Callithrix jacchus: one gene and its partner. The protein of the gene in region 2 binds, or shares a complex with, the protein of the main gene of each other region. Links are inferred from orthologs where the notes say so. Each region holds a gene or a part of one and is shown on either strand. Other genes may lie near its edges.

The links. Proteins that work in one complex are often made in the same cells at the same time.
Region 1: CDK2AP2 (region 2) and MTA3 share a complex: the UniProt entries of both Homo sapiens proteins name them as parts of the nucleosome remodeling and deacetylase (NuRD) repressor complex. The link is inferred for Callithrix jacchus from reciprocal best matches to the Homo sapiens genes CDK2AP2 and MTA3.

What each region holds. Positions count from the first base shown.
Region 1 is NC_133515.1:72,273,102-72,277,763, reverse strand, and holds the start of MTA3 (metastasis-associated protein MTA3), read left to right. Parts: upstream 1-1,602; 5' UTR 1,603-1,632; coding exon 1,633-1,660; intron 1,661-3,301; coding exon 3,302-3,369; intron 3,370-4,662. UniProt on the Homo sapiens protein: Acts as a component of the histone deacetylase NuRD complex which participates in the remodeling of chromatin.
Region 2 is NC_133511.1:124,584,494-124,589,012, reverse strand, and holds CDK2AP2 (cyclin-dependent kinase 2-associated protein 2), read left to right. Parts: upstream 1-1,984; 5' UTR 1,985-2,064; coding exon 2,065-2,146; exon of another isoform or gene 2,147-2,288; intron 2,289-2,457; coding exon 2,458-2,555; intron 2,556-2,649; coding exon 2,650-2,782; intron 2,783-3,145; coding exon 3,146-3,213; 3' UTR 3,214-3,670; downstream 3,671-4,519. UniProt on the Homo sapiens protein: Acts as a component of the histone deacetylase NuRD complex which participates in the remodeling of chromatin.

The DNA of each region.
Region 1 (4,662 bases), on a different chromosome or scaffold from region 2:
CATGGCTCATATTTTGACACACAGCAGAAAACCCTTGGGAATCTGAGGTTTTCTTGGGTTAAAAAGAAAAGCAAGAGACACCTGTTATTTGCATGGTGCTCTGTGTTCCCTGGTTTACAAACCATTTTCAGATATCACAACTGATCCTTTCCACACCTATGAAGGGGAATTGGTGTCCCCACTTTATGGGCAAGGAAACAGGTCATAGAGTCAATATAATTCAACGGTGCTTTGTTATTTATTTGTATGTTTTGCCTCAGCTACGCAGAACACTTTTTTCATATCAATACTTTGTGATAAGGGACCATCACAAATGTCACCACCAAACAACCAAAACACAACTTCTTTTCTGGGGGCACCTCTTACCCCCGCACACACCTCAAACTCAAGTTGGCAGCACACAGCTGTGTATCACAAGACATTGCAAACAAGCCACCACACCAGTAAATCGTCTTCATGTTTATTATGCAGTGATGTCTGGGAGTACTTTGGAATGGACTGTCTTCTCTAAAGAAAGTTATTTTTGGTCGTTTGGGGGATAGCCAGTTAAGATTCAACATTTTTTTTTGTTGTTGTTTCTGTGAGAGTAGGAAGGCCGTGAAAACAGAGGTTGTTTAGAGAATTGGCCTGCGACAATAACCATTTAGAAGCTTTAGACACATAACCAGTTAAGTGTCCATCAATATCAAGCTGATTGAACAGCATCTCCTCTTCTTGGGGGTGGTGGTGATCGTGAACTGTAGGGTCCTGTTCCCCCATGGACAAAGGAAGCCCCCAATCCTAAAGGTCCCTTATCCCAGAAGAACAGGCACTGCATAAATAGGGCCTGTCTAGAGCCAGGGCCTGTATCTGGGTGTTGGAGAGTTGGTTCTGCTCAGTTGGGATGAACGATGGCGCATTTAGGGTGGCCTAGAAGGGAGTTTTTCTAGCTCTGTCCCCGGCTGGGTCTCTGGCGAGGCGGGAACTACGTGGGGTCTTCCTGGCCCCAGAACCTGCAGGTACCAGGCCGCCCCCGTGGACCTCACCAGAAGGAAGGAACCCTGCTGCTTACACTTATTTGCATCCAAGAGATTGCACTGAGACTGGCGCTTGCCTACTAGGTCAGACACACGGGGGTTCCTCAGGGACGGAAGCAGGGAAGGAGGACCTGTCTCGGGGTGGGCAGGTGATGGGATACCCTGGGTGGGGCAAGAGGCCCTGCGGAGAGGCTGAGCGCCAGCCCCGACTCCAATTCTCTAACAGCCCCTGGTCCGCATTTCAGTCCAGACTTCCGCCTCGGCCAGGACCCTGGCCCCAGGGCCCTCCACTTCCAACAAGGCACCCCACTCTCCCTCCCGCTTCCCATTCCCTCCCCCCAATTCCCGCTGGCCCCACAGCGCTCGGGCCTCCCCCGGCCCGGCCCGGCCCACTCGGCTTCGCTAGCCTGGCGCTGGGGGCGGGCACCAGCCCCCACCCCTCGGCGTCCCCTCCCCTTCACTTCCCCCTCCCCCGCCCCCTCCCTTCCCTCCCTTCCCCCCGGTGGCTAGGCAGCGGCGGCGGCGGCGGCGGCAGCGGCGGTCGAGGCTGAGGCTGAGGAGGCGGCGGCGGCAGCGGGCGGGGCTCGGCTCGGGCTCCGCGGGCGGGCGGGCGGACATGGCGGCCAACATGTACCGGGTCGGAGGTAGGCAGGCTCGGCCCGACCCGGCCCGTGTGGGAGCGGGCTCCGGGAGCGGGGGGCGGGGGCCGGGGCGAGCGCAAGCGAAGTGCCGGGAGCCAAGGGTGCGGGGGCTGAGGGCGCAGCGGACGGGGGCGCCGGGGCCCGCAGAGGGGCCGGGGCTCCCCACCCCCACCTTTTCCCTCCCCTCCCCCCACGGTGGCCTGCGAGGAGCTGGGGCCACCTTCACCCTCTCACCCCACCTCGTCTTTAGGGCCAGGCCTCTACTTGGGGGTACGAATGACCAGACGCCCCCCCCTCCACGAAACCTTCATGGGAGTAGGGCCCGTCGAGCCCCCTGAGAAGGTGGCCGTCTCCTTGCGTGGCTTCTAGGCGCTGGAGAGGATGGGGGGACATCCCCTCCCCTGTTCCTTCTCCCCTCAGTGGGAGCCTGGGGTGGGGGTGGGGGCCCAGCCAGGGGCGCAGCTGGACGGGCCTGTTAGCGGGACGGGGCCCTGCACCTCCCCTTCCTCGCCTCCCTCGTTTCGTTTCTGGTCCAGCCCCCCACAAATGGGGCTTCGTAGGGCCTGGGAACCTCTGCCGGAGGTGGGGAGTTGAGCTCTGCCTGGACGTTTGCTCTGCTGCCTGCCTCCTTCCCAGTCTTCTGCGGAAGAGAGAAATAAGGTCAAACAAACTTTCTCCCTACTCAAGACGCCCTCCTCCCTCTTTCCTGGTAAAATAATAATTCAGATAAGTGGCGTGTTTGTATGAGAGACCGGCTCTTCCTTCTCTGCTCATTAGCCGAGCTTCTGATGGATAGTAGTAGGAATCGCCTGGCTAAATGAGGCCACTTTGCAGAAGAGAGCCGCGAAAGAGCCGCTAAGATAGACAATAACAGCACAGCCCTGCCTTTCAGATAAACACACAGTGGGAAGTTTCCAGCGAGCCTATTAGATGAGACGAAAAGCCACACTTGAAAAATTTTATCCTTTTAGTTGAAAGCCTGCGGCAATTTCTTAACCACAAGACATTAAATAGATTTGGATTAAATATGGTAAAAGGCTAAAAAACATTATGGTATCACCCCCAGAGCACTTTCCCTCTTAGAAGTGATCCCCTTGGCCCCCCTGTTTTCTCATCTTTCCAGACAGAGCTGTGGAAAAGTTTGTCAGCGTTCTTCCTCTTACCTGCTCTGCTCACCTGATTTTTTTTTTTAAGTAGTGATTGAAATGTAGGTTGGACTGTGAAGCCTTTCTCCGTGCTCTGAATGTCTTAGGTCAATAGTTTTATGTGAGAAGCAGCCTCCAGGGCAAATTGGATTGGAGGAAAAAGATGTGGAAGTAGTTACAGTACAGAGGACACATGTTTAGTGTGCCCTAACTGTACAGTGATAAGAGGTGCCTTTTTTGTTTATTATTAAAGAAATGACATATTGGGACAGAAGTCTAGGAGAACCTGGTAAAACGTTAATTGAAATGAAAATGCCAAGAAAATAAAGGTCTGTGAATCGTAGGCAGATAAGAGAATATATTAAGGCTATTTGCTTTTACCAGTGAATGAATTATGAGCTTAATTTCAAATGTGAATTGCCTAACATTAAAAGTCATGGACTGACAAATCTGAGCTTTCTGTTGAAAAGATTAAATTCTGTATTTCCTTTAATTACAGATTATGTGTACTTTGAGAATTCCTCCAGCAACCCATACCTAATAAGAAGGATAGAAGAACTCAACAAGGTATACATTTAGTGTTCTTAATTTTAATATTAAAAATATTTGTTTTTCCTTGACGGATGATTGGGTAGAGGGTGGCCTGGCGAAGAGATTCTTGCCTGCAATTCCAGTACTTTGGGACGGTGGGCAGGGGGAGACCAGCCTGTGCAACATAGTGAGACCCCATCTCTATTTTTTAAAAATTAAATAAAAAATAAACTGGGTAAAGATTATAAGAGGTGGCTCTACTTTCAGTCCTAGACACTTTGAAAGTTGAGGTTTTAGGCCAGGTGCAGTGGCTCATGCCTATAATCCTAGCACTTTGGGAGGCTGAGGCAGGTGGATCACTTGAGGTCAGAAGTTCAAGACCAGTCTGGCCAACATGGTGAAACCCCTTTTCTACTAAAAAAGTACAAAAAATTAGTCAAGCATGGTGGCATGCACCTGTAATCTTAGGTAGTCAGGAGGCTGAGGCAGGAGAATCGCTTGATCCTGGGAGGTGGAGGTTGCAGTGAGCCGAGATCATGCCATTGCACTCCAGCCTGGGCAAGAGAGCAAGACTCCAAAAAAAAAAAAAGTTGAGATTTTAGAGAGTTACGCAGGATTCCGAATTCTTAATATTCTTTTGCTTTTTCTGTTACTGAATATTTAAAAGTCTGCAGATTTCTTCAAATTGCTTAGAGCCTCTGAAAGAGCAGTTTACTTCTGTAACTCAGACCCTTTTTATATTTAGAGTCATCATGGGCCAGGTGCAGTGGCTCATGCCTGTAATCTCAACACTCTAGGAGGCTGAGGCAGTCAGATCACTTGAGGGCAGGAGTTCGAGACCAGCCTGGCCGATAGGTGAAACCCCATTTCTCTTAAAATTACAAAAATTAGCCAGAGGTGGTGGTGGGCACCTGTAGTCCCAGCTACTTGGGAGGCTGAGGCAGGAGAATCACTTGAACCTGGTAGGCGGAGGTTGTAGTAGCCGACAGAGCAAGACTCTGTCTAAAAAACAAAAAAGAGTCATAATATGTATGTCTCCCTTTTTAGTGAATTAATATTTTCCTCTTCTAGGTTTAGAAGGAGGAAGCTGGGGAATATAATACTGAAGGGAATTTGTAAAATTCTGAACTAGACCAAATTGTATCATTGGCTCACGCCTGTAATTCTAACTTCAGGAGGCTAAGGTGAGAGGATCCTTTGAGTCCAGAGTTTGAGACTAGCCTGGGTAACATAGGGAAACCCCATCTCCACCAAAAAAATAGGCAGGCCCATAGTCCCAGTTACTTGGGAGGCTGAGAAAGATTGCTTGGGCCTAGGAGTCAGAGCTGC
Region 2 (4,519 bases):
GCTTCCCTGTCTGTCTCAGAGAATAAGACCTCCTTGAGTACAGAGGCCATGGCCAGTTCATTTCTGTAACCTCAGCGCTCGGCACAAGATGTGGGACGGAGGAGGGAGTCAAGGGAGTTAGAACATGGTTTTTTTTGTTTTGTTTGTGAGACGGAGTCTCGCGCTGATGCCCAGGCTGGAGTGCAATGGTGCGATCTTGGCTCACTGCAACGTCTGCCTCACTGCAACCTCTGCCTCCTGGTTCAAATGATTCTCCTGCCTCAGCCTTCCAAGTAGCTGGGATTACAGGTGCCAGCGACCACACCCAGCTAACTTTTGTATTTCACCATGTTGGCCAGACTGGTCTCAAGCTCCTGACCTCTTTTTTTTTTTTTTTTTTTTTTGAGACGGAGTCTTGCTCTTTCGCCAGGCGCCAGGCTGGAGTCCAGTGGCGCGATTTCGGCTCACTGCAACCTCCACCTCCTGGGTTCAAGCAATTCTCCTGCCTTAGCCTCCCGAGTAGCTGGGACTACAGGCGCACGCCACCACACCCAGCTAATTTTTTGTATTTTTAGTAGACAAGGGGTTTCACCAATGTTGGCCAGGATGGTCTCAATGTCTTGACCTCGTGATCCACCCTCCTCGGCCCACAATTCTGGGATTACAGGCGTGAGCCACCTCTCCGGGCCGAACTCCTGACCTCAATCAGCCCACCTCCACCTCCCGAAGTGCTGGGATTACAGGCGTGAGCCAACACGGGCCAGAACATGTTTGTTGGATGGATGAATGAATGAACGACTGTCCTGGAGATGAAGATCTACAAAGCTGGGACCATGAAGGTACGTAAGGCCAGAGAAGTTTGAGCTTGGGGAAGGAGCCTGGGAGAAAGGGTTAGTGAGTGGATGAGGGTTTGAAGTCTTAAGTTTGTGGGGAGTGAGATTTGAGGGGAGGCGTCTGAGTGGTGGAATGGAAAGGTATGGGGGCCCTGGAGTGGGACAGGAAGGCGGGGAATGAAACAACAAGCACTTTATGACATTCACTTAATCCACACAACAACCCAATGAGATCGTCATTTTCCCCATTTTACGGATGGGAAAACTGAGGCATACTGAGGCGAGACACTTGCCTGGGGGAAATCGCCAGTGGGGGTGGTGCTGAGATTCAAACCCAGGCGGTTGGCTCCAGACCGTGCTCTTGATCAGTTTGGTACCGGCCCGCCACACAGTAATCTCGCAGGTTTGCCCTACGGCCATTGACACCAGCTGAGGCGGCGGCGCGGGGCCTTGGGGGTGCGGGCAAAGGGGTCTTTGAGGTCGCCCTTGGACCTGACGACCAGCCAAGCCACAGGAAGAGCTGCGCGTGGCGGCACTGAAGTAGGGCCTGTTGCCATGGGAACAAACGCAGGCCTCGGGCGGACGCATGCGCAGATCGGGGAGAGGGTGTTGAACCGGTGAAAGGTGACGTAAAAGCGCACGGGGTGGGGCGCGGGGCTCGGGACGTCAAAGCTCTGCGTCCTTCGGCCCCAGGAGCGGATAGGGACGCACAGCGGCGGCGACAGAAGCGACGGCAGCGGCGACAGCAACCCCTGCTGGGCCGAAACTGGGCAGAGCAGAGCCGACGTCTGAAGCAGCGCGAGTGAAGCGCGAGGGTAGCGCCCGCGTCCGGGAAGACCCCTCGGCGCGAACCGGCGGCCCAGCCCGGGGTCCGGGGCCTCGAGGCCCCGCCTCTAAGGCCTGGGGACTAATCGGATTGAGAGCGCGCCGGCCCGGGCGGCGAACTCGCCAATTGCAGAGGGCGGCAGCCACCGCCCAATCCGGAGCAGACAGGTGCGAGGTCCGGAAGGCGGAGACCAATCGGTGGCGGTTGCGACCTGCTGGGGCAGGTCTCGTCCAATAAGGAGGCTCGAGTGACATCTTCAGGCGCCAATCGGGAGTGAGGGAGCATTCGAGCCCGCTCGCCCTTCCGGCCAGACCTCTATTTACCAGAGGCGTGCAGCCCGCTTGCCAATCAGAGCGCGGCTGAGCGGCCCGGCGGCCAACCCCCGAGGAGCGGCTGGCTGGCGTCCGCCGCGCCCAGGAGTTGGGGATGTCCTACAAACCCATCGCCCCCGCCCCCAGCAGCACCCCTGGCTCCAGCACCCCTGGGCCGGGCACCCCGGTCCCTACAGGTGAGGATCCAGCTCCACCCCTGCTCGCCTGCCGGGCGGTCGAGGTCTCGAAGAGAAGACGGCCTGAGTTCTGCAATACTGGGCCTGCCGCCTACCCCTCGCTGAGCCTCAGTTTGCTGGCCTGTGAAATGGGCGTGGTCATGTAAGGGCTTGTAGGTGGAGCTCAGGGGGAGGGATTTGTCCCTGAAGTTAATCAGCATGGAATGAAGCATCCTTTGGAGGGAATCGGGCGAACGCGGTCCTGGGCTTGGAAAAGCAGGGAGGCGCGTCCCTGCCCAGCGCTGACCTCTTACTCGCGCCTGTTGCTGCAGGAAGCGTGCCGTCGCCGTCGGGCTCAGTGCCAGGAGCCGCCGCCCCTTTCAGACCGCTGTTTAACGACTTTGGACCGCCTTCCATGGGCTATGTGCAGGTGAGTGGGGCCAAAGCCTTGCTTATGGATGGGGACTGGAGTTTCCTTCCCTGCCAGGTGCCTGAGCTCACTGCCCTGTTCTCTTTTGACATAGGCGATGAAGCCACCCGGCGCCCAGGGCTCCCAGAGCACCTACACGGACCTGCTGTCCGTCATAGAGGAGATGGGCAAAGAGATCCGGCCCACCTATGCTGGCAGCAAGAGTGCCATGGAGCGCCTGAAGAGAGGTAAGTGAGGCCAGGCCGCCCTGCCCTGCCCTGCTCCCCTGCTCAGGAAGCCGACACTGCACTATCCTTCATTAGGGAAGTAAGGACATCTGGAGGCCACCCGAGCGACGCCTAGACTAGGGCCAGTATTACTATGCAGAGAGGTATTTTGAATTGAAATTGAGTCCGTTTCCAGGGAAGAGCCTGGGAATTTGTATTTCAACAGGGCCACCTTGAGGATTAGCCAAACCTCTAATCTCATCTCGCCATTATTAGATTTGAATTTCTCTTGCCGAAAGGAAAGGGAGTGGGGAGGCAGTGGTGGTCCTCTGGAGGGCGGAGGTGGGGCTATGGAGGGTTGCTGAGACCCCACCCTACCCCCAGGTATCATCCATGCCCGGGCCCTAGTCAGAGAGTGCCTGGCAGAGACAGAGCGGAACGCCCGCACGTAACAGGAAGCCTCTCGGCCTCAGCGTCTGGACCTTTCCCGGCCACTGCAGAGCACCCGCTTCTCCCTGGCCATCATCCCGAGTTGCACTAACCATCCTGGGCTTCCTGTCCTGTGTCCTTTGGTGGGTGCCCTCCAGGAACCAAAGGGTGGCTCTCACTCCAGGTGGCAGCACTAAGAACGACCCCCCCCACAACAAGAGTTTAGCAGCGAGGTCCCTGTGAGTCGCGCCCATGACCTGCCGACAGTGTTGCCCACCGGAACTTTCTGTGGCCCCCACTGCTCAGCCCCTCCCAGCACTTCTCCCACTTCGTCCCGAGCCTCCCTCTCTCCCAGCAGGGGCTCAGGCCTGGCACCTGCTTGCCTTGTGTCCTGGGCCATAGTGACTCTTTTCTCTGTGTGTCTTTTGCTAAATATGCCCTTTTTATATTAATAAAAGATGATTTGGAGTTGTGCTGTCAGCTCTGAGCCTTTCTGGGTCTGGTTCTTCAGTTAAGCCTGGGTGGGCCAGGCAGAGAAGGAAGAGGAGACTAGGGGTGGGGAGGGTGTGACTGAATGGGGTTTGACTTGCCTCTGTGGGCCACAGGCCTCCTGTGGGACCCAGGCCCTCTCCTGCCCCAGCCCTGGTGCTGAGAGCCCTGGGCCTTCCTGTGGTGCCACCAGGGGGCAGAGCAGGGCCTGGCTGCTTCCACAGCCCTTTGCGCTGTGGGCAGCCTGGGCCTGGAGGGCACTTCCTCTGGATTGGCAGTGATGCCTGGCAGCGTGGAAATGCCAGTTCACGTAAGCCACTCCCTTACACTCCCTAATGCCCTGACAACACCCCAGCCTCTGAATCAGCCCTGAAGGTCTCTGACACCGCAGAGAGAATGCACACTGCTGCTTCCAGCACTGGCCTCAGAGTCAAGCAGAGAGGCTGGCGGGTGCTGCCGTCACCGCCGCAGCACCTGTAGCAGGCTGGGCGTGATCCCAGGAGCCCAGCCTTGGGGTTCCTTAGGGTGCCTCGCCCTTTGCCCAGACTCCGGGTGGCTGGCTCGCCAGACTTGTGGACCCGGAAGGCAGAGGTGGGGGAGGCTTTGTGGCACCACGCAGTGGCTAGCCCAGCCACTCAGAGTGACAGCCCGCTTCTGCCTGGGTGTGTAGCTGGGTGTAGAGGCCCGGGGGCCCTGGAGGTCAGCCCTAGGTGGAGGCACATCAGAGCCACGAGCGTCTGCCTAGACTTTGGTGGGGAGGCATTTCCTCTACCCTGGGTCCCAGGTCCAAGGACTGCAGAGGGTGAGGAGAGGAGAGTGGGCCTGGGACACGCCCCCCCA